2 linked regions of the Notamacropus eugenii genome follow. Each later gene encodes a partner of the first gene's protein in a complex. Links are inferred from orthologs where the notes say so. Each region holds a gene or a part of one and is shown in the gene's direction. Other genes may lie near its edges. The genes, in order: LMAN1 and MCFD2.

The links.
Region 2: the proteins of LMAN1 (region 1) and MCFD2 are in contact, whole or in part, in a cryo-EM structure (PDB 8JP5), measured with the Homo sapiens proteins. The link is inferred for Notamacropus eugenii from reciprocal best matches to the Homo sapiens genes LMAN1 and MCFD2. Residues at the interface, in NP_005561.1 of Homo sapiens: His43, Arg44, Arg45, Phe46, Tyr48, Lys49, Ser51, Phe52, Lys53, Pro55, His56, Gln59, Ser60, Asp61, Val64, Pro65, Phe66, Trp67, Lys96, Phe265, Glu273, Lys279, Glu280, Ile281, Glu285, Lys286, Tyr289, Glu292, Phe293, Phe296; in NP_001164977.1 of Homo sapiens: Val59, Ile60, Asn61, Lys62, Gln70, Glu71, Leu74, His75, Phe77, Lys78, Tyr82, Asp83, Asn86, Asp89, Gly90, Leu91, Glu92, Thr95, Thr98, His99, Val100, Leu111, Glu114, Leu117, Ile118, Ile121, Asp122, Leu125, Asp129, Lys130.

Annotation. Positions count from the first base shown.
Region 1 is NC_092875.1:430,481,287-430,493,173, forward strand, and holds the start of LMAN1 (protein ERGIC-53), read left to right. Parts: upstream 1-6,748; 5' UTR 6,749-6,800; coding exon 6,801-7,056; intron 7,057-11,887. UniProt on the Homo sapiens protein: Mannose-specific lectin. May recognize sugar residues of glycoproteins, glycolipids, or glycosylphosphatidyl inositol anchors and may be involved in the sorting or recycling of proteins, lipids, or both.
Region 2 is NC_092872.1:661,874,963-661,886,278, forward strand, and holds the start of MCFD2 (multiple coagulation factor deficiency protein 2), read left to right. Parts: upstream 1-5,412; 5' UTR 5,413-5,483; coding exon 5,484-5,628; exon of another isoform or gene 5,629-5,713; intron 5,714-8,565; exon of another isoform or gene 8,566-8,656; intron 8,657-10,483; coding exon 10,484-10,637; intron 10,638-11,168; coding exon 11,169-11,316. UniProt on the Homo sapiens protein: The MCFD2-LMAN1 complex forms a specific cargo receptor for the ER-to-Golgi transport of selected proteins. Plays a role in the secretion of coagulation factors.

The DNA of each region.
Region 1 (11,887 bases):
CTTCCCAATAAGATTCGGAGTGAAGCAAGTCAGTCCATTATCACCACTATTGCTAGGTACAGCAATAAGAGGAGAAAAAGAAATTGAAGGAATTAGACTAGGTAATGAGGAAAAAAAACTATTCCTCTTTGCAGATAGCATGATGATATACTTAAAGAATCCTAGAGAATCAAATAAAAAACTAGTACAAATAATTAACAACTTTAACAAAGTTTCAGGGTATAAAATATAACCACATAGATGATCAACATTAACATATATATATATTTCTAATGAAGTACAGCAAGAGATAGGTTACATTTAAAATAAAGCTAGACAATGTAAAATGCTATCTGGCAAGACAAACTCATGAACTATATGATGAATACAATTGTAAAACACTTTTCATATACACAAAATAAGTCAGATCTGAACAACTTGAAAAATATCAATTGCTCATTGAGTAGGCTTAGCAAATATAATAAAAATGATAATTCCACCTATATTAATTTGTTCCATGCCATACCAATCAAACTATCAAAAATATCTTGTAGAGCTAGAAAATTTTATTCAGAAGAACAAAAACTCACAAATACCAAGGGAATTAAAAAAAAATGTGAAAGAAGGTAGCCTAGCCACACCAGATCTCAAACTATATTATAAAATGGTAATCATCAAAACAATCTGGCACTAAGTAAGAAATAGAGTGGTGGATCTGTGGAATAGATTAGACACACATTACACAGTACCTAATGACCATAGTAATCTAGTGTTTGAAAAATAGTGATTGAGAAATCCAAAAATCCAAGCTTTTGGGACAAGAACTTACTATTTGACAACAACTCTTGGGAAAACTAGAAAACAGTTGAGCAGAAACTAGGAATAGACCAACATCTCACACTGCATATCAAAACAAGGTCAAAATATGTACATAATTTAGATATAAAGGAGGACATCATAAACAAATTAAGGAGGCATGGAATAGTTTATTTGTCAGATCTATGGAGGAATTTATGACCAAACAAGATGTAGAGAACATTATAGGATGTAAAATGAATAATTTTGATTACACTAAATTAAAAAGGTTTTTGCACAAACAAAACCAATGCAACCAAGATTAAAAGGAAAGCAGAAAACTGAGGGTGGGGAAAGGAAATTTTTACAGCAAGTTTCTCTGATAAAGCCCTCACTTCTCAAATATATAAAGAACTGAGTTAAATTTATAAGAATACAAATCATTCCCAATTGATAAGTAGACAAAGGAGATGACAGGTAGATTTTAGACAAAGAAATTAAAACTGTTTATAGTCATATAAAAAATGCTCTAAATCACTATTGATTAGAAAAATGCAAATTACAACAACTCTGAGTTACCACCTCACACCTACCAGATTGGCCAAAATGACAAAAAAGGAAGATGATAAATGTTGGAGAGGATGTGGGAAATTTGGGACACTAAAGCACTCATGGTACAGTTGTGAACTGATCCAATCATTCTGGAAAGCAGTTTGGAACTCTGCCCAAAGAGCTACAAAACTGCTTACCCTTTGACCCAGAGTTAAAAAAAAGAAAGGAAAAGAACCTATTTGTACAAAAATATTTGTAGCTGTTCATTTTGTGGTGGCAAAGAATTAGAAATTGAGGAGATGCCCATCAATTAGGAAATGACTGAACAAGCTGTCATGGAATACTACTGTGCTATAAGAAATGATGAACAGGAGACTTTCAGAAAAACCTGGAATGACTTACATGAATCGATGCAAAGTGAAGTAAACAGAACATTGTACATAGTAACACCAATCCAGTATGATGTTCGATTATGAATGACTCAGCTACTCTCAATGATACTGTGATCCAAGATAATTCCAATTCCATAGTGAAAAATTCTATCCACTTCTAATGAAATGACGAAGTCTGAATGCATATTAAAGCGCACTATTTTTTAACTTTTTAAAATGTTTTTTCATCTCTGTCTACATTCACAACATGACCAATATGAAAATCTTTGTATATGTATAATGTGTATTATATTGCTTATCATCTAAGTGTAGGGAGGGGGAAAAGGATGGATGGAAAGAGATAATCTGAAATTCAAATTATGAAAAAGAACATTAAAAATTATTTTTACATGTAATTGGAAAAAATAAAAATATCATTAAAACTTCAAAAGTTTAAAAAAGATAAATAGGTGTTCAATTTTGTTAACAGCCTTTCCCGAATTTATTGATTTAATCATGTGGTTTTTTTATGATTTACGTTATGTGATATATTTATAATCTTCCTTGTTTTGAAACAAATCTACATTCCTGGTATCTTTTGAATCTGGTCAGAATGTACAATCTTTTGAATATGTTGCTATTAGCCTATTTGCAAATATTTTATTTAGAAATTTTGCATTAACGTTCATTAGGGATATTGGCCAATAGTTTTCTTTTTCTGTTTTGTCTTTCCCTAATTTAGGCATCAAGACCATGTTTACATCATAGAAAAAATATCAGAAGGGTGCTTTCCTTTCCTGTTATTGCAATTAGATTATGTAATAATAGAATTAATTTTTCTTTTAATGTTTGATAGAATTCACTTGTAAATCCATCTAGTCCCAGAGTTTTGTTTTTTTTAAACGGAATTCATTTTTGACTTATTCCATTTCTTTTTCTGATACTGGATTATTCAAATACTCTATTATTTTGTGAATCTGAGTATTTTATATTCTTGTAAGTATTCATCCATTTTCTCTAAGTTATCAGTTTACTACTATGTAATTGGACAAAATTGTTTCTGATAATTTGCTTCATACCTTTTTCAATTACTCTGAATTCTCCTTTTTCATTCTTGATAAGAACAATTTTGTTTTCCTCTCTCCTATTAAAGTCAAACTGGTAGATTTTATTTCATTTGCTTTTTTTAAAGCTCCTCGTTTTATTTATCAATATGTTGTATGATATTGTTTTTGCTTTCAGTTTTTATTAACCTCTTCTTTTCAGAATTTTTAGTTTGTTGCTTAGTGGAGATATTTGCTGTTCTTTGTGTTTTAGTTTCATACTCTACTTGTTATTTCTTTCTATAAAAGCATTTAGAAACAAAAATTTTTCCCATAGAACTATTTTAGCTTCATCCCATAAGTTTCATTATCTGATTAGTATAGCTTTCTGTGAAGAAATTATCTATTGTCAGTCATTCAACAAGCATTTATTAAGCTCCTACTCAATACAGGGCACTGCAATAAGCATTGAGGGTGTACAAAAAGACAAAAAGCAATCTGTGCTCTCATAGAGCTCACAGCATAATGGGGGAGACAATATGAAAACAATGTATAAACAAATTTATCAGGATAAATCAGAGGTAATCAACAGAAGGAAGGTTTGTTCCTTAACCTGCCTGTTTTTAAAAATTGTTCATCTTCAACTGGTTTTTCATTCTTTCTTCAATGGCCCTTTGTTGAATAAAAATTTTATTGTGATCAGTAAATGGTGTGTTTCACATTTATGACTTTCTACATTTTTGAGTGCCCTGAATATATGATCATTTTTTGCAAAGGTGCCATGTACAGATGATTAGTGTATAAATTCCTTTCTAGTCCCATACAATAATTGCTAATTGCTATCATCTCTAATTTTAAAAAAATTCTATTCAGGTCCTCACCTTTGTTCTTGTTCTCTTTTTTAAACCTCTTTTTTTATTCTAGACTTAAATATTAAAACTTAAATGCACAATAGAGAAAAGAAAAAGAAACATATTATAAAATTAAACATTGAAACTTAAATATAAAATCTTGTTTCTTTTTTGGTTAGATTTGTTTAAGTATGAAAAGCATACATTGAGATCTCTCACTATTATAGTTTTGCTACCTATTGCTTCTCCCAATCTGATTAACTTTTCTTGTAAATATTGAGATGATATGCAATTTAGTTCATACATATTAAATATTCATATGAATTCATTATTTATGGTACCTTTAAACATAATGTAGTTTCCCTGCTTATTTCTTTTCTTATCATGTCTATATTTAATGTAACCTTATGTGAAACTCATAATTATTATTCTTGATTTTTTGACTTAAGTTGCAGATTAATAGATTTTGTTAAAAGTCTTCCTTATAATTCTATATGAATCTTTATGTTTTAAATGATTTTTTTTTGGTAAATAACATAGTGCTGGATCGTTTTTTAATCCATTATGCTATTTTATGGGTGAGTTGACTTTTTTCACTCACTGACTTTTATGACTATGATTGTTAACTGTATATTTCTCTCCATCCTATCCTTAGACTTTCTTTGTTCTCACCCTCGGGGGGGGGGGGGCGGTGCCAATTCCTGTCATCCTGATCCATATCTGGCCACTGGATCTAGATGACTCTGGAGGAGAAAGTGAGGCTGGTGACTTTGCACAGCCCTGCCTCACTTAAATCCAATTCAGTTGCAGGTCATGGCATCACAGCTTTCTGATGTCATGGTCCTCTGAGAATGAGAGGCAAACACCAACAAACTCTCTCTTTACAAATAAGAAGATGGTAAAAAAAAACCAAAACAGTTTGCCTGATGTGTTCTATAAATGAAATGGTCTGTTTCCACTCTTGCAACTCTTTTACTCCCCTTGTTCTGCCCTAATTCTGGGTTTTTACTCTTTGTTCCTTTTCTTTTAATCTCCCTTTCATTTTCCCTTTTTCTGATATTCAAGTTTATTTTGTTTATGACTATTCCCTTGCCCATTCTGTCCATCCTCTCAAACTTTTTTCCACCGTTCCCTTTTATTCATCTCCTATTTCCTTTTGGGGTTTAATGAATTTCTATCCTAAGATGTGTGTGTGTGTGTGTGTGTGTGAATGCACACAACATGCACAGCGTAAAGTTGTGTTCAATCTTCCTTTATCCAGTTTAGTGGAGTTCATGAAATGGCTATACCATCCATCCCTTTTTCCATATTTAAAAACTATTCATCATAGGCACCTCTTTAATACAACAGTGACTTCTCTCTCCTTCCTCCTCTTTTTTTCCCCCAAAGTATAATTTCTTATCTCCATGAATAATCAGAGGATCCCACTCCTAGGACTATCTCCATTACACAATTATGGTATGCTTAATGCTTAAACTGCATCCAGTTTTAGTTAGAATAGGCTCCCGGAACTCTCCAGAAAGCTTGCTAATGTGGCATATTTATAATTCTACCTTCCTCATCCTGAGTGGGCTCATTTAAAAACATTTTTAAATAGCCAATTTTTAGAAACCTCCTCTTTTGCTACTGGTCCATGCTTCCTGACCCAGTGACAAGATGGCTACTACAGTAGAACTTGTCTGAAAATCTTTTGTAAGCAAGAACACCCAGGAACTCTTAGACATCCACCAGAGAGTACATCCCACCACTTATCCACATCACCATACAGAATGTTACCCCTGGGGATGGGTGAAGACAAGACAGGCCACATGAGACTATTTCTGATTTCATCTATCCACATCCTCCTCTGCTGGTTGTGAATATTAATGAACCATTCTAACCATCCCAGTGTTACTGTAAGTCACTCATCCAAATTCTGCCCCAAGTTTGCATGATGTTCCTATTTTAGTCTTCTAAGACCATCAAAACAAAACTATCTAAAGTTCTTCTGTCATGGTTCTGAGAAATCATTAGTTTCTTATTCCTCTGTTAGCATGTAAACAATTCATCCCCATGTTTTCCTTTCCAGTTAAAAAGATATATTTATCTATGTTTCTTTGGTTCCTGTATTTCCATTTCAAACTGTCTACTCATTTCTTGCCCTTTCATCAGGAATGCTTAGAAATATACTATTTAATTAAAGGTTCATTTTTATCCTTTCATTTTATCCTTAGTTTTGCCAGATAAGTTATTCTTATTTGTAAGTCTCCTTTACCTTTTGAGTGCTGGAATATTATGTTCTAACCTCTTCTCTTCTTTACAGTGGCAGCTACCAAAACTTGGGGTGTATGGAGTGTTCAAGAAAGACTAGCACCTCTGGTGTAAGGGCTTGCTGAGCCCTTTTCAGGGCTGCTCATCCACCTTTGGTGTTCACCTGTCACCTACCTCTCACCTGTGGCTCCAAGAAGCCAACAGGTACAGTGGCCACTTCCCATGAAAACTAACTCAGCAGACGGGCTAATCTAGTTTGAGGGTAACGGTCAGGCCTGAAAATCCATTGGTTAGTTACGAGGATGTCTTAACTAGTATAATACCTGTCTGTACCACTCATTTGTTCCTCACTCTAAACTAGTACCTGAATAAGCCTCAAGGGGCCAAGGTCTCCCAGTGCACCCTGGGTCATCTCCAGTCATCCTGATGAATATCTGGTCACTGGATTCGGATGGCTCTGGAGGAGAAGTGAGGCTGGTGACCTGCACAGCCCTCCCTCCCTCAAAACAAAGTCAAGTGCAAGTCATGTCATTATTTCTCTGATGGCATGGTCCTCTTTGGCAATGAAGGATGGACACAACAACCTGTGAGTAGACCCAGCCTCCTGAATGGGGACCCAGCTAGCGGATAACTCAGCGCCTCCTCTCCTGTCTGTCTCCCCCTCCCTTTCTTTCTCCTTGTCAGGTAAGCAGGGCATAAGTTCAAATCAGGTGAGCTGCCACCATGGAGGGGGCAGGCCGCTCTCCTGACCACGCCCCTTATGACCACGCCCCGCACAGGACCCCGCCCCCAGGTACCCGGCCACGCTGCCGCGGGAAGGAGGTGGTGCCGGTGGGCGTGGCTTCCCCCGGCCCCGAGGAGGGGGCCGGCGGCTCCACCAATCACGGAGCGCCCTGTTGGCCGTTCGCTCGGTGTTTCGTTCCCAGCTGCCGGCGGGCCGCCTTGTCCCAGAATCCAAGATGGCGGGATCCAGGAGCGGGGGTCCCCGGGCCGGGGCCGGGGCCGGGGCCGGGCCGCTTGTCTGCGCGCTGCTGCTGTCTCTGAGCCGTTTCTCCAGCGCCCAAGGAGAGGACGGGGACCCCGCGCTGGGCGGCGGGGCTTCCGCCGCCTCCCTGGCCCCGCCGCCCCATCGCCGGTTCGAGTACAAGTACAGCTTCAAAGGGCCGCATCTGGTGCAGAGCGACGGGACCGTGCCCTTCTGGGCCCACGCGGGGAGTAAGTGCGGACCCCAGAACCCGCCCCTCCGCGGCCCCGCTCGGCTACGGCGGGGAAGCCCCCTGGGGGGAGGGGGCGTCGCTCCCCTCCCCCCCCTCCCCGCTGCCCCACCACCCCCCCCCTCCCCCCAGCCCGGCCCTCTGCGGCGCCGCTTCCCCGCTCCCTCCCCACCTCCGCGGGAACCTTTGGTTTCTTGCATCAGGTTTCAGTCCTTCGGTCCCGCCACGTATCGCTCGGGGGATCCCGCCCCCTTTCCCTGCCAGTGGCCGGGCTCCCTGTGCTGGGGGCCGGGCTCCTGCTCGGCGGCTTCTCACTTAACGGGGGGCGAGGCGTGGCTTTTAAGAAGAATTAAATAATCATCCTGAGGGACCATTGGCTTAATTTGTAATGGTTCACTTTATTTTACCCATTTAAGGGCACCGTTCCGAGAAGGGGTCCTTAGGCGCCCCCGGACTTGCAGGGGAGGTGGGGGGGGGGACAGGACGCGCACACCCAGACTTGGGAGCTTTCAGTCCACAAGCGTTCAGTGCTCCGCGCCTTTGCCCAGGCCCTCCCCCAAGTGCACCCTCTCCCATTCCCTTGGGCCTCCTCTGTGCCTCCGACTTGATCCCCCCGTCCCGGTTCCGGCCGCCAGGGCGCCACTTCGGAATTACTTTGTATTTACCGCGTACGTCCTTTGTACTTTAAGTGTTCCTCCTCTTTTCCTTTTAGAACACAAGCTTCTCGAAGGTAGCCGTGGGTTCCTTTAAGGCACGAATCCCTGGTGCTTGGCACATAGTAGCCGCTTGGCACCTGCTCTCTCCACAGAGGCTTGTTGGTTGTGGGGAGAACCCCGCTTGGGGTTAGTGATATAAAAAATTAGGGTGGAAAAAGGGATCCATCCTCTCCTGGAGCACTACGGTCCATAAAGGAGGGAATTTCATTTAAGTCTTACCTTACTTATGATTTATGCCCTCCACGGCACCTGAGATGATTTGTTGGTTTTCGTGGCATTCAGCAAATTCTTTGATATCAGAGAACAGATTTCAGTCTGTGGCTCCTTTAAGGAGTAACTTGGCCCTTTCTTATATTGTAAGGCATGGAACTTTATATGGACTCATTTTTTAAAAGAGGATCTTTTTAGACTTTTTTGTAGTTTTGTATACACTTAGGAATTCATAGGATTAGAAATTCAGACATAGTTAGGGATCTCAGGCCATCTAGGACTGCCCCCTCATGCTACAAATGAGGAAACTTACCCTCCCCACCCAGCCAGTTTCTAAGGTGGGATTTGAACCCAGTTTCTCTGACTCCAGAGCCATTGTTCTTCCTACTGTACCCAGCTGCCAAATCATGCTAACTTTATGTCTTCAGTTTTTCGTTTGATCTTATAACCCTCAAGATTTTAAATGTGTTTGGAGTCATTATTTCTAAAGGTGTGTTGTTAAAGCATTTTCTTATGTGAAAGAAAAGTTCTTCAGATTTTAGTAAGAATGGGTCACTATTTACTGATGTGGCAGTCGTGCATTTTATGCAGTAAATTCTGTTTGGTAACTGACCGTCCACTCTGAAAATAAGGATTTTTCACCAAAGTATTTATTGTAGATTGGACTCTGGTTATCATTACTTAATTGTAAATAATTAAACACTATGTAACTTACATATATACTTTTATTTGTAGATTTGTATGCTTTGATCAAAATACAGTACTTCATGGCATTGGTTTCTGAGTTGAGCATATATGCAGGCAGAACCCTTCTGTTGCATTTTAAGGATTAACGTTACAAACTCCTTTAGAGCCTGTCCCTTTTGTATCCCTTCAGCTCAGCATATAGGCAGTCAGTATTTGTTGGATGAAAGACCAGCTTTAGGGGTACAATTTGTTTTTTTGAATGGAGCTAGGTAACAGGCCCACATACAGAATCCATAACCTTGGCTTCATTAGCTTCCCTGTAGTCAGCTGAACTAACCTGCCACAGATTGTTGAGTTGATGTGATTTTCTTTATTAGGGTTTATTTAGTAAACACTGAAATGTGAGATTCAGTGCGATTCCTCAAACATTAAGTGTTTTGTAATGTGTGCCAACACTGGAGCAGATACAACAGTTAAGTGAAGCAATTTCCTGTCCTTGTGGAGCTTATGATTTATTAGACAGATAATACAATGTTTATGAATAACTCTAATACAAAAGAGAATGTCCTAAGAAGAAACAGCATGTTACGGATGACTACATTCTTGAAGTAGTAAAGACCTGCATTCAAATCTTGCCTGTAACTCACAAAAACTTTGTGTCTGTGGTTAAGTCACTTGTCACTGCTCTAATCAGTTTTTCTTTTTTTTTTTTTGTTAAGGTACCAAATTTTATTTTATTTTATTTTATTTTTTTAATTATTTTTTAATGTTTAACAATCACTGCCATACAATTGAGATTTTATCCCCCCCACACCTACCCCCCACTACCCCCCTCCCTCCCCACGACTGCATACAATTCTGTATAGGTTCTACATATACTTTCCTATTGAGTATATTTTCACTATAGTCATGCTATGTAGTCAGACTAAAATAAATGAAAGAAATCATATAACAAATCAAAACATGATACACAAACACATACACATACACAAACATGATCTGCTACATTTTGTGAATGACTTCCATATTTCTTTCTCTGAGTGTGGAAGGCATTTTGCCTTGAGAACCACCATTGGGATTTTTTTTTTTTTATAAGAAGTTCTTGCATTATTACAAAATTCCAAGTCTACCAGAAAAAACTCTCGCACACTGTGGTCGTTGCTGTGCAGAAAGTTCTCCTGGTTCTGCTCCTTTCACTCAGCATCAGGTCATATAAGTCCTTCCAGGCCTCTCTGAAGTCTTCTTTCTAATCAGTTTTTCAAGACAATTAGTTATAAATCAGTGACTGATAAGCCTTGGTGGAAAGAGTTGACAAGCCAGAAAGTCTCTACACTGATGAAATCACAGGTCCAAACCACCCTCTGCAGTCCCTCCCCAAATCCTGTGTGTGTGTGTATACATAGATTTTTGGTGTGTGCGTATTTGTTTTTCTGTGTGTATTTGGTCTAAGCTATCTAAGGAAGAAAAAAGATAATTTCTTATTGGGATGAGAGTAGGCAATCAGGGGAGGTTGCATGGCATTTGATCTAAGTATTGAAAGATAAGGAGGATGTCATTATATAGAACTTGGTTGAGGACAGAAGACAGAGGTATGCCATTAATCACAGGGAAACTGTGAGGAAGGGAAATGTAAGTATGGAATATTTTGGATTTTGGTCCCAATTCTAATCCTGGGAATCACTTTTATGAATGTCAACCGTATTAACTCGCAGCGTACATAGATTCGTAGACATACATAGACTGTTAAAATGAAAGGTATTTTAAAGATCATCTGGTTTACCTTCTTTGCAGTCTTTATATACATTTAAATTTCTAAACCCCTTCTTTCTCTCTTTTCACCTTTAAGTACAATGTAAGAGTTGGGAAATTAGATGAGTAGAGTTTGAAGATCTTTTATTACAAATTTTTTTAAAAACCCATAATGTATGTGTCTCTAATTTAATTTCTCTTCCTTTGTGCCCTTAATATTCTACCACTGTAGGAGGCAGAACTGGTTTGATTAAGTTCCCGATATGGTGTTTTGTGCCAGTGAGTTCAGTGAAGGGTAATGGTAACAATGAAGAATATCCAACCTTGTCCAATTGTTTTAACTTTTCTTTTCCTTAATATTCCCATCTGTGTTTACCCCATAGTAATAGATTTGGCTTGGACTGTTGTCTGTCTTCATATAGATCAAATCACAGAATTTAATGCCAGAAGGAACCTTAGAGACCATCTATTGTAATATGAATGTTAGAGATAAGATAACTGAGATTCAGAGAGGTTATGACTTGTTCAGGGTCATATAGTCAGTAATAGAGTCTTGACCTCCAGCCCAGCGTTCTTTTCCATATAGCACGGTACTTCCCTGTTTGAACTTGGAAAAAAGAAAGAATAATGCTCCTTTCCTTCTTATGGGAGTATTATAGAAAGTCCTTTTGAGATATTCAAAGGATATTATTAAATATAAATCGTGTACAAAGAACCTAACTTCAAACTTTTCCTTTTCAGTTATAATTCTTTATTGTTTCTCCCTAAGAATTTTAAATATATAACTGTAACTTTCTTTAATCATAGGTGTTCAAGCACAAGTCTGACCATGTTACTCCCCTGCGCAGAAACCTTCAGTGGCCCTGTTACTTCTAGGGTGAAATATAGTAGTTGGACATGTAATATCCCTCATGGTCTAGTCCTAACCTACCTTTCTAGGCTTGTTTCACAACTTTCACATATCCAGTCTCTTGCCAAGTTTTATCATTCCTACCTTTACAGCATCGTTTTTATAATTCCCTTTGTCTCTCCATGAACAGTCACTGCCTTGGGACAGGCTGTTATCACCTCATGCCTGGACTGTTGCCATAGCCTTCTGGTTGAGCGCTTTGCTTCAAGCTTCTCTCCACTCCACTCCAGTCTCCATTCAGCTGCCGAGGTGGTTTTTGTATGACCATGTCACTCCCCTATTCAGTAAACTCCAGTGACTCAGTTCCTTCTAGATCAAGTGAAAAATGCCCTGTTTAGCATTTAAAGTCCTTCACACCCTGGCCCCTTCCTATCTTTCCAGTCTTCTTACATGTCATTCCACTCCACATATTGCATGATCCAGTGACACTGATCTTCGTGTTGTCCTTTGAACATGCTGCTGTGTCTCCTAACTGTGTACCTTTTTTTTTGGACTGCCCCCCATGCCAGGAATGCGCTTTCTCCTTATCTTTGTCTTCTGGCTTCCCTGGCTTCCTTCAG
Region 2 (11,316 bases), on another chromosome or scaffold:
TCCTACCAACACTTCAAGTCATAACTTGCATCCCATTTCCTAATGAAACTTCCCTGCTGACCTCAACCCACACTTTTCTCCTCTGAACCTCTATGTCAAAAAACAAGCATGTATTAAGATCTCCCCATGTGCCAGGGTGTCTGCCCTATCCATTTGGTATTCATCACAGAAATAACTTAAGAATCGGAAGGAAATTTAGAGATTATCTAGTTCATTTAGCAGATAAGGACACTGAGGAGAAGAGAAGTAAAGTCATTTGTCTGGGGTCACACAGCTGAGATCAGAATGACTGGTACGAAATTCTAGCCAATACACTCTGTTATCTCAGGCTGCCCCTCTTTATCTTTTTAAAAGTTATGCTTCTTATTGTTTATAATAATACTAATATCATTGATATAGCACTTTAAAGTTTACAGGGTGCATTACATATATTAATTCATTTTATCCTTGCAATAATAGCCCAGTGAAAGAGTTGCTTTTATTATTCTTATTTTACAAATGAAGAAACTGAGATACAAAGGTGTCTACATGCTGATATGTGTCTGAGGCAGGATTTGAACTCGGATTTTCCTGACTTCAAGTCCTGAACTCTGTCCACTGCATCATCTAGCTGTTCTCTATTAATGTTATTTTTCAAGAAACAAATATTTTAAAAAATTAATCTGTCCTTCCCATTATTTCCTTTCCTCCATTGAACAAACAAAAAAAGAAACCACTGAAAAACGAATCCCTCAAAACACATTGACACAGTCCAACAAAAAAAGGCAAGTCAAAAAGCATTTATTAAGTACTTGTGATGTGCTATAGGGCAGCTAGGTGGCACAGAGGAAGACTCATCTTCTTGAATTCAAATCTGGCATCAGACACTTACTGGCTGTATGCTCATAGAAAAGTCACTAAATCCTGTTTGCCTCAGTTTCCTCATTTGTAAATGAACTGGAGAAGGAAACAGAAAACCATTCCAATATCTCTGCCAAGAAAACCCCAAATGGGGTCCTGAAGAGTCTGATGCAACTGACCAATAGCAACAGCTATTCATATGTTTCATAGATCTTTATATCTAGCCCCTGTCTTTCTCCTGAGCTCCAGTTATATATCACCAATCTCCTACTAGATATTCCAAACTGGAGACTCAGATATATCCCAATACTGGAAACTCAATATATCCCAAACAGAACTCATTATCTCTCTTCCCAAATTCACTTTTCTTCCAAAATTTCACCAAAATGCCATCCATTCTTACAGTCTTCCATATTTGCAGCCTTGGCACTATCCTTGTCTCTTCACTCTTCCTCACCCCATATATCTAATTGGTTGCCAAATCTTGCCATTTTTACCTTCATAATCTCTTTAGAATCTGAACTCTTCTTTCCATTCACACAGCCACCACCTTAGGTTACTTAGATTATTGCAACACACTCCTTTAATTGGTCTCCTTGCCACAAACCTTGTCCCTCTTCCAGACAACAGGAGAAAAAAGTGATTTTCCTTAAGTGCATGTAATCACCCTCCTCAATGAACTTCAGTGGCTATGGACTTTAAAATACAAATTTTTTTATTTGTCTATTAAAGTCATTCACAACCTGGCTTCCAATCTATTCCTCAAGCCTCATTGAACATTACTGTCCCCTCCCACACTAAAGTCCAGCCAGCCACACTAGCCTTCTCTCTCTGTTCCTTGTTGTTCCTCACACTCTTATCTCCTTTCTCCTTGCTTTTAACCAGCCATCCCCAATGCCTGAAATGGATTCCTTCCTGTTTCATTCACAGAATCCTTCTCTTGAAGTCACAACTGAAGCACCAGCTTCTTTAGGAAGCTGAACCACTCCTCAGCTCCTGGCAACTTCCCTTCCAAAGCACCTTGAATTTAACTAGCTTATATTTATTTTCTTTATTTTTTAATATAAATATTTACTCATTCAGAGGAGAGATTTAATCTTTTGTTTTCCTAGCGCTTAGAACAGCATCTGTCACAAGGAGGTGCTTAATATATGCTTGTTGATTAATAATTGTCCATTTTATGATTTATATATGTATACACACATACACGTACACAAAACAGCTTTGCCTCATAGTATTATAAATTGTGTGCCTGTAAGTGTCAAACTGTCTTAGTATGTTAGGTGTCCAAGCCATAATTAGATCAAGGGTAACTGGAATTTTTCCCCAAGGGACTGAATTTAAGAGTATGCTGAAAGCATCCATGTTTATTTGGCAGGGGTTGGCAAACTATGACCCATGGGCCAGAGTCTGCTATCTCTGTAGGACACAAGGCACAAACTATCTGAGGTTTCTCTGGTGGGTTCCATTAGCCAAAAGAGAAAGTTCATTTAGTCTGACTCCAAGTCATACTGATGTACTTTTTGTCATGAAGAAGCCTGTAGAAGAAATAGTAAATATTTTAGGGCACTTACATATTAGCTAACTGATTAACTGAAGATCTCAATCTTCTTAGTAGAATGCCAAGTGTGAATCTGAGTAGAGGGAGGTTAGAAGCTTAAGGAGATTAGGGGACTTTGGAGAATCAATATGGAATGAAGAAAAGGATTGCTCAACTGAAGTTGAGATGAATTTCCAGTAAGCTAATCCTACACAGGTCAACATCTGTTTATATAGACTTTGTCTCAGGGTCACTGAAAATAGTTTGGGCTTTTTGGGAAGAACCCCTTGACTGACCTTCACTATGCATTTTGTATGTTTATCAAAATGATATTGAATCAAATCACCAAATAGTTGTTAAGTGCCTACTCTGTACAATTAATTATTAAGCATTTACTAACGCTAGACCCTGAGGATATGAAGACAAAAATGGAATCATCCTTGTCCTCAAGGTTTACAATTCTATCAATGGATACCTCTGTGATTGATTCTGTGGGGGTTACAAAGACAAATAAAACAGTCTCTGCCTTCAAAAAACCCCTTAATAGGGAAAGAAACTTTTGTCCAAGAAGCTTTTGTTCAAGCTGGAAGAGACATTAAAATCAATCTAGTCCATTACACCCCTCATTTTACAGATAAGGAAACAAAGGCCTGTATTGGGTACAGGTGGAAGTGATTTGTCCATGGTTATTCAGGTTTTAAATAAAAAAGTGGGATTCAAGCCCATATCATCTAGACTCTAGATCTAGTCCTTTACTGCAACACTCTGCAGAAGTTGTTGTTCAGCCTTCATTTTCAGAGAGGACCAATGACATCATAAGACCGATGACTTGCTCATGAATTAGATTTAAGTGAAGCAGAGCTGCACACAGTTGTTGGCCTCATTCTCTCTTCCAGAGTCCTAAATGTGCAGAGGCAGGACAAAAGTCAAGGCGACTGACGATGGCCTGGGAATGCCATGGTGAGCTGGGTGTCTTCAATATCTGACCAGGCTCTGAGCACTTACACAGTGTCTGCTTTAGCCTTCTTCATGGATGTCACCCAACCGTTCTGCAGGAAAAAGTCATCACTGAAGAAATTAGTAGGAAGGAGAAATTATTTTAGCCTGAGGATGCCACAGAAAGCTTTCTGGAAGAGGTAAGTTTGAAGCAGGGCCTTGAAGGATGGGCAGTGTGTGTATGTGTGTGTATGTGTGTGTATGTGTGTATGTGTGTGTGTGTGTGTGTGTGTGTGTTGGGGCAGGGTATGGAAATCTAGGTTGCAGGAATGGAGTGGAGGGTGAAAGTAGACCTCCTCCTCGTCTTCTTCCATAACTCTGGATCCTTATTTTTGGTGTTTTCTTCACAAGCCACTAAATGCACTAAACCCCCAAAATTTATAGCAGCACTTTTTGGAGTAGTTAGAGAACTGGAAACAAAGTAGTGTCTATTGATTGGGAATGGACAAGCAAATTATGGTATGTGAATGTAATAGCAGATTACTGTCCTGTAGAAAAAAATAGATATGATGAATAAAGGAAAATGTGGCAAGACTTACATGAACTGAAGCAGTGGGGAGTAGGCAAAGTCAAGAAAACAATATACACAGTTAATACAACATTGTAAAGGGAATAAGGGATTGAATGGTCTATGGAATACAAGGTCCCATTGTGCTAATTGTTTTTTTAATCCAATTTTATTTTGTATTCAGTTGTGAATTTTTTCCTTCCCTTTTCCTCTCTTCCACCTGTCCAGAAATCAAGAAAAACAAAACCCATTATAAATATGTCCAGGCATGAAAAACAAATCTCTGCATTTAGTTATGTCCACAAAAAAAAAAAGGAAGGAAAAAAATAAGCTTCCATTTGTCCACTGAATCCATCAACTCTGTCTGGATGTGGATAGTATATTTCATCATGAGTTCTTTGGAATTTTGGTTAGTGTGTAGGTTGGGCAGCTAGGTGGTGCAGTGGATAGAGCACCATGCAGGAGTCAGGAGGACCTGAGTTCAAATCTCACCTCAGACACTTGACACTCACTAGCTGTGTGACCTTGGGCAAGTCACTTAACCCCAATTGCCTCATCCTGGGTCATCTCCAGTCATCCTGATGAATGTCTGGTCACTGGAATCAGCTGGCTCTGGAGGAAAAGTGAGGCTGGTGACCTGCACAGCCCTCCCTCACTCAGAACAAAGTCCAGGGCAAGTCATGTCATCATTTCTCTGAAGGCCTGGTCTCCTTCAGCAAGGAAGGACCAACACACACAAGTCTTTCCCAGTTGATCATTAGTTCCTACACGGCTTTCCAGGTTTTTCTGAAGCCATTTCCTCAGTCGCTTCTTACAGAACAATCATACACCATAATTTGTTGAGCCAGTCCCCAGCAGATGGGCACCCCTTCACTTCCCAATTCTTTGCCCCCCCAAATCTGCTATGAATATTTATATACGTAGGGTCCTTTCCCTCTTTTTTTAAATGTATGCTCTTTGGAGCATACGCCCAGCGGCACAGCTGAGCCAAAGGCATGCACCCTGAACACACCTCCGGGCACTGTTCCATCTGCTTTCCAGAACGGTTGGACCGGTTCACCGTTCCACCAGCGGGGCATTCCAGGACTCTTTTCCCACGGCCCCTCCAGCATGGGTCATTTTCCTCTTTCGACAGCTTTGACAACCTGACGGATGTAGCGTGGTCCCTCAGCGTTATTTTAATTTGCGTTTCTCTAGCTTTCTCAATTTAGAGCCTTTTTTTTCATATGGCTGTCGAAAACATTGAATATATCTTCACGATGTCTATAGAGGCCCAGGTTTGAGATTCCCTCAGATGCAGTTTTGAGGTCGGCCACTGGGGGGCCCCCCGCAGGCCAGGCCTTTGGCGTGTTTGGTCGCTAGGCAACTAGGCGCCCTCTCCCCCTCCCCCCTCCTCCCTCCCCGTCTCTCTCTATGGGGGAGGGGAGTCAGGGGGCGGAGCCTCACCTCGGGGGCGGGGTCTGGGGGGCAGACGCGGAAGGTTCCGCCCCTCCGCCACAGCCCGATTACACGTGGACTGCTCTGAGAGACGCCACCAGCTGGGCTCCGGGAAGTGAGAAGGCGGGGCGGAGAGGTGTCCAATGGGCGAGCGGTAACGGAATGCGCATGCGCCGGAAAAGAGTTCCCGAAGGGGAGGAGCGAGCGAGGGAAGAAAACGGGAACGCGGGACCGGGACTCCTGAGGAGCTGTCTGGTGAGCTCGGCGTTCAGGGCTGCCGGACCCCGGCTCACTGACTGCGGCCTGGGTGAGTTGAGGGGGGCCGGGTTCTGGGGCTCCGGGCTCCCCAACTCTGGCCTGGAGGCGGCTTCCGGCGGGGCAGCCCAGCCTAGGTAACGGGACCGAGATTAACGGAGCCGGGGGCGGAGAGGGGGGCTCCCGAGGGGTTCTGGGAAGATCCAGCCCTGGCATCCGGTGAACCGGGCCGAGACACGGCACTGCGGAGACTGGGAGGCGGCCCGGCAGGGAGGGGTCTGAGGACCCTGGGAGCGAAAGAGAGGCCTGGGGACCTGGTGACCAGGGGAGCAGGGGGGAGGGAGATGGGGAGTGGGGAGCAGGACCGGGCTCTGGGGTCTTGGGGAGGGCCAGGGGTACCTGGGGAGCAGGGTCTGGAGAGCCGGGGGGAGGGAGATGGGGAGTGGGGAGCAGGACCGGGCTCTGGGGACTTGGGGAGGGCCAGGGGGACCTGGGGAGCAGGGTCTGGAGAGCCGGGGGGAGGGAGATGGGGAGTGGGGAGCAGGACCGGGCTCTGGGGACTTGGGGAGGGCCAGGGGGACCTGGGGAGCAGGGTCTGGAGAGCCGGGGGGAGGGAGATGGGGAGTGGGGAGCAGGACCGGGCTCTGGGGACTTGGGGAGGGCCAGGGGGACCTGGGGAGCAGGGTCTGGAGAGCCGGGGGGAGGGAGATGGGGAGTGGGGATCAGGACCTCTGGGGTCTTGGGGAGGGCCAGGGGGACCTGCTCGGGGTCTGGATGGGCAGAGGTCCCAGAGCACGCTGAGCTGGTGGGATCCAGAGTGCAGGGGGCCCTGGGCGCTGGGCTGTGAAGCGAAGGGTCCCCAAAGGGCCGCAGCCTGTGCCTCCCTGGCACCCCAGGCAGCAGCTGCATCTTGTTCCCTGCCTGGAGCCGGACGGGCACAGCTGCAGCGTCTGACCTCCTCCCCTGCCCTGGTGCTTCAGGGCTCTGTCCAGGGTCTTGGCTGGGACCCTTACAAAGGTCAGAATCAGGGCTGTTTCCCGAGGTCCCTGCTTGTAAAACCTCCTTTCGAGGGGAGCAGTCAGCACAGGCTACCTGCCACTCACCAAGCATATGCTTCCTCTCCCATTCCAGCCGAGAGCAGAGGTGTTGTGAAATAGTATGGTAGATGTGGAGTCAGCCAGACCCAGGTCAAACCCCCCCCCCCCCCCCCCCCCCCGACCTTGAACACATACACTGCTGTGGTTCCCTGGGCCAGTCAGTTATCTTCTTTGTTGCCTCAGTCTCCCCTTCTGTAAAACGAGGGGATTGGGCTCTGTGGTGTTCTAGGTCCTTTCTGACTCTTAAGGGTGTGATACTGCTATCTCCACGGGCAAAATTGTGGATTGACTAACTTGCCTTTGTCACTTGCTTTGGGTAGAGGTTATCTGGGGCACAATGTTCATGGCATCAGTAAGGCACTCCAGGAGTGTTGTTTTTACTTCCAGCTGCTAACAGATCATGGTCATTTTGGGGAGGTAAGAGGGTAAGCAAATACTTTCAAATTCTAACCTGACTAATGATAACTTGGTTGGTAAGAGAAGATCTCAAAGTCCCTTCTGACACTGTGTTCTTCAGGAATGACAAAGCTGCCCAAAGGATCACTGGATCCTAGAATTCAAGCTGTAAGAGAACCACAGAGGGAGTCTAGTCCCATCCTCTCATTTTACAGATGAAAAAAATAGGTCTAGTTAAGCTCAGTGACTTTTCCAAGGTCACACAGGTTGTACAGGGCGGTATTAGGAACTGAACTCAAGTCATTTGACTCCAAATCCAGCACCACTTGGGAGGTTTTGAGATCCTTCTCTGGTTCAGGAATACACATCCTGAAGCCCATCAGATTCAGTTCACTCTGCTCAAATGCTAAGCCCTTGGTCTGGCTTGTTGATGATGCCTCGCTCTTGAGGCAGAGGAGGGTTGCTTCTTTTTTTAAGTGAGTGTTTTGAACTTGGATTGGATCATAAGATGCTGGCCCTCAAATTGTCATACCCAAGCCAGGGCATGATTTGGGGTGTTCTGTTTTCTCCTCTGTTCAGTTGGTTTGTTCCTTCTTGTTCCTGAGAGTTAGAAACATATGGTAATCACTGCTTTCAGAGGGAGCTAAGCAAGGTGCTGTGAGGGGGATTGAGCCAAATACGCCAAATGTTATTTGTGGCATTTTTGGATTTGACAGCGAATGCACAAATTGGGAATGTCTGGGAAGACCTGGCATTCCTACCCCTTCTCACATTTCTCAGAAATATAAGGCCTGAATAGCAACTCCTAGTAGTGATTTAAGTTCTAACAATGTAGCAGAGGCACATTCACTGCTGAGATTTGACTCTTTCAAAGTTAGAATCTGACTGTTTTCCACTTTTTTTGTTGCTGTTGCTGTTTATTTGTTTCAGTCACATCCAACTCTTTGTGACCCCATTTGGGGTTTTCTTGGCAAAGATATTTGAGTGAGTCGCCATTTCTTTCTCTGGCTCATTTTACAGATGAGGTAACTAAGCCACACAGGATTAAGTGACTTGCTCAGGGTCACACAACTGCTAGGTGTCTGAAGGCTGCATTTGAACTCAGGTCTTCCCTGACTCCAAGCTTAGCAATCTATCCACTGTGCCACCTAGTTGCCCTACTTTTTTGTTCTAATAAGATGGCAGTTAACATGAAAACTTATTCCACATGGTACAGAACAAATTTCATCATGAAGAGTATCTCTGTGTTCAGTGAGACTCCTGGGGGGGTGGAGGTGTGTATGTGTATGTGTATGTGTTGAATCTTCTACACCAATACTTTGAGGCATATCTGTCAGAATGGGTGCCTGCCTTTCTGGGGAGTGCTGGGGTAGTGTTGCCAAGGATGATGCCATCCCTCCAATTTTCCTGCCTCTTTTTAATTGGTGACGTTATTTTAACATTAGTTATCTCCTTGAACGTTTCTTCCACTCTACATTGAAACTTCCTTATAACAGAGAAAACCAGTTCTGCAGAATAAACTGACAAAGCATGAAATCTGAGAGTACACACAGCCTCCTGTACCCCCACACTCTACTCCCCAGTCAGGTGAGGGATAAGTGCTTTTCATCTGTTCTTGGGAATCAGGATTGTTCCACAGGCCGTTTTTAGACAAAGAAACCAAAGCTATCTATAGTCATGAAAAAATGCTCAGAATCACTATTGGTCAGAGAAATTCAAATTAAAACAACAATAAGTTGTTTTACCAGAGCAGCTAATATGACACAAAAGGAAAATATTGAATGTTGGAGGGGATGTGAGAAAACTGGGACACTAATGCACTGTTGGTAGAGTTGTGAACTGATCCAACCATTCTGGAGAGCAATTTGGAACTATGCCCATGATATCACTGCTAAGTTTGTATCCCAAAGACATCCCCAAAAAGGGAAATGCACCTGTTTGTACAAAAATATTTACAGCAGCTCTATTTGTGATGCCTAAGAATTGGAAATGGCAAGCATGGTGATTTCGGAAAAACCTGCAAAGACTTACATGAACTGATGCATAGTGAAGTGTATTCAACAGTATAATAATATTGTTGAATGAAGAACTGTGAATGACTTAGCTGGTCTCAGCAACGCAGTGATCCAAGACAGTCCCAAAGGATTAATGATGAAGCATACTATCCGCCTCCAGAGAAAGAAGTGATACTGATTGAATACAGACTGAAGCATGCTATTTTTCACTTTCTTTCATTTTTTTTCTTTTATTCAAGTCTTCTTGTACAAAATGGCTAATATGGAAATGTTCTACATAATTGCAAAAAAAAAAAATTAGAGTTTTGGGGGGGACTGTTCCATTGTAATTAACTGATGTTAAGTCACCCTTTAGTCTTATTTTCACCTGTGCTGTTGAAGTTGTGGTAAACGTTCTCTTGGTTCAGCTTTCTTTGTGTCTGTCACTTCATACTAGTCTTTCCACATTCATCTGAATTCCATGTTTTTGCTGTTTGCCACATCTAGCTTAAGAATCTTCTACTGTTTACATGTCATTCTCCAGTCACTTTGTTGCCAGCTTTTTGCTACCACAGAGTGTTCTTTTGAATATTGTCTTATCCCTAGGACTTTCCTCGTTACTTACCCCCTTAGGTCATATACCCAATACCACTCAAACTATCTTGTGAGGATGGAGATAGGGATGGAGCAGGCAGAGGACAGTGACCTTTGGATCGTAGCTGTTCTTTGCAAAAGATGAGGAGAACAAATGTCTCCTGTGCCCCAGATGCCCCTGCCCTTGCCGTTGCTGAGTTTGGGGTGATGGGGAGATGGGGAGCATTTTAAGGCTTCAGCCCATGCTGTAACTCAAAGGACAGTCTGGATCAGGGAGTCTCGGCAGGACCTGTGGTCCCCCTCTGGAAAGTGATCCTCCATCTCCCCAGTTATTGCATCCATTGGGCCTTTGTACCTCATGCTGTTTGCCCACTTTGATTGTTTATGCACCTGCCACCTCCAGACCAGATGGTTGACTCATTGAAGGCCTGGGACTTTTTGCCTTTAATTGTTGCAGATTGGAACTTCTTGGCAACTCAGACTGTGCCAAGTCTCTGGGCTCCTCCATCTCCATAGCACCTAATCGTTTCACATCTGTTGTGCCATTCATTAGATCATCTCAGTAGCTGGATGAGACAGGTAGACCAGGGCTTGTTAGACCCTGTTTGACAGATAAATAGTCTAAAGTCACACCTTGAGCTGGGGACAGACCTAGGACTCTTTCTTGTAGCACTGCTCCCCTCCTTCCCCCTTTCCCTCCCAATGTCAGCGGATCAGTTGCCTCTTTGAATTAGCAGGAATGATGACTGGATCTGAAATCCTTATGGGAATCTTAGGTGTAATTCATGCCTTTCCTATCACCCTCTGTGTTTCCTCCTCTTATTAGACATGTATTTAAGCTTGTGGAAGATGCTTAGAGCCACTCTCCTGTGCTGCCTCCTGGGGGCATTTGGCTTCCTGAGTGCTGGGGCAGAAGAACCTGTGGACAGCCATAGCCATGCTGGTGTTCGCCTGGATAAGAACATGGTGCAGGACAAAGAGTATGTGTTATGGGGGCTTCCCTGTGCTAGAGATTGGGCCTGTCAGTTGCAGCTGTCGCTGCACCCAGAACATTATTTTTTTCCTGAAACATATTCCAGTTTCTGATTTTATTTGATCTAAGCAGCAAATCTGGGCAGTGGGTAAGTCATAACAGTTATTATCTTCAATTATATGGATGGGGAAACTGAGGCCCAGAGAAGTTAAGTGAGTTAGTGGTACAGCCACCACTGGAGCCTACCTTTCTTGTCTCCTAGCCTCCCCCATATCTTTCCCCTTGGTGTATGAGAAAAAACCTCTTAGTGTTGTATTCATCCCTAAAACTTCTTTGTTCTGGGGGGGTCAGGTAACCGTGGCAGGCCTGGCCTTTTACCATTGCATTTGTCTACTGCCATTATCATTTGCTGCTCTGAGATAAAATGTCTGAGCTTTAAGTGGTGGTTGCAGTCAGACCTGCTCATTCACATGTTCCTCCTGTGTTGTAGTCTTCACAAAGCCTCCACAGTGCTCTCAGCCTGATTGTTGATTTTTAGGCACATCATGGAACACCTCGAAGGCGTCATTGAGAAAAGTGAGTCGGAGATGTCTCCACAAGAGCTGCAGCTCCATTACTTCAAGATGCATGACTATGATGGCAATAATTTGCTTGATGGCTTAGAACTTGCCACTGCTATCTCTCAT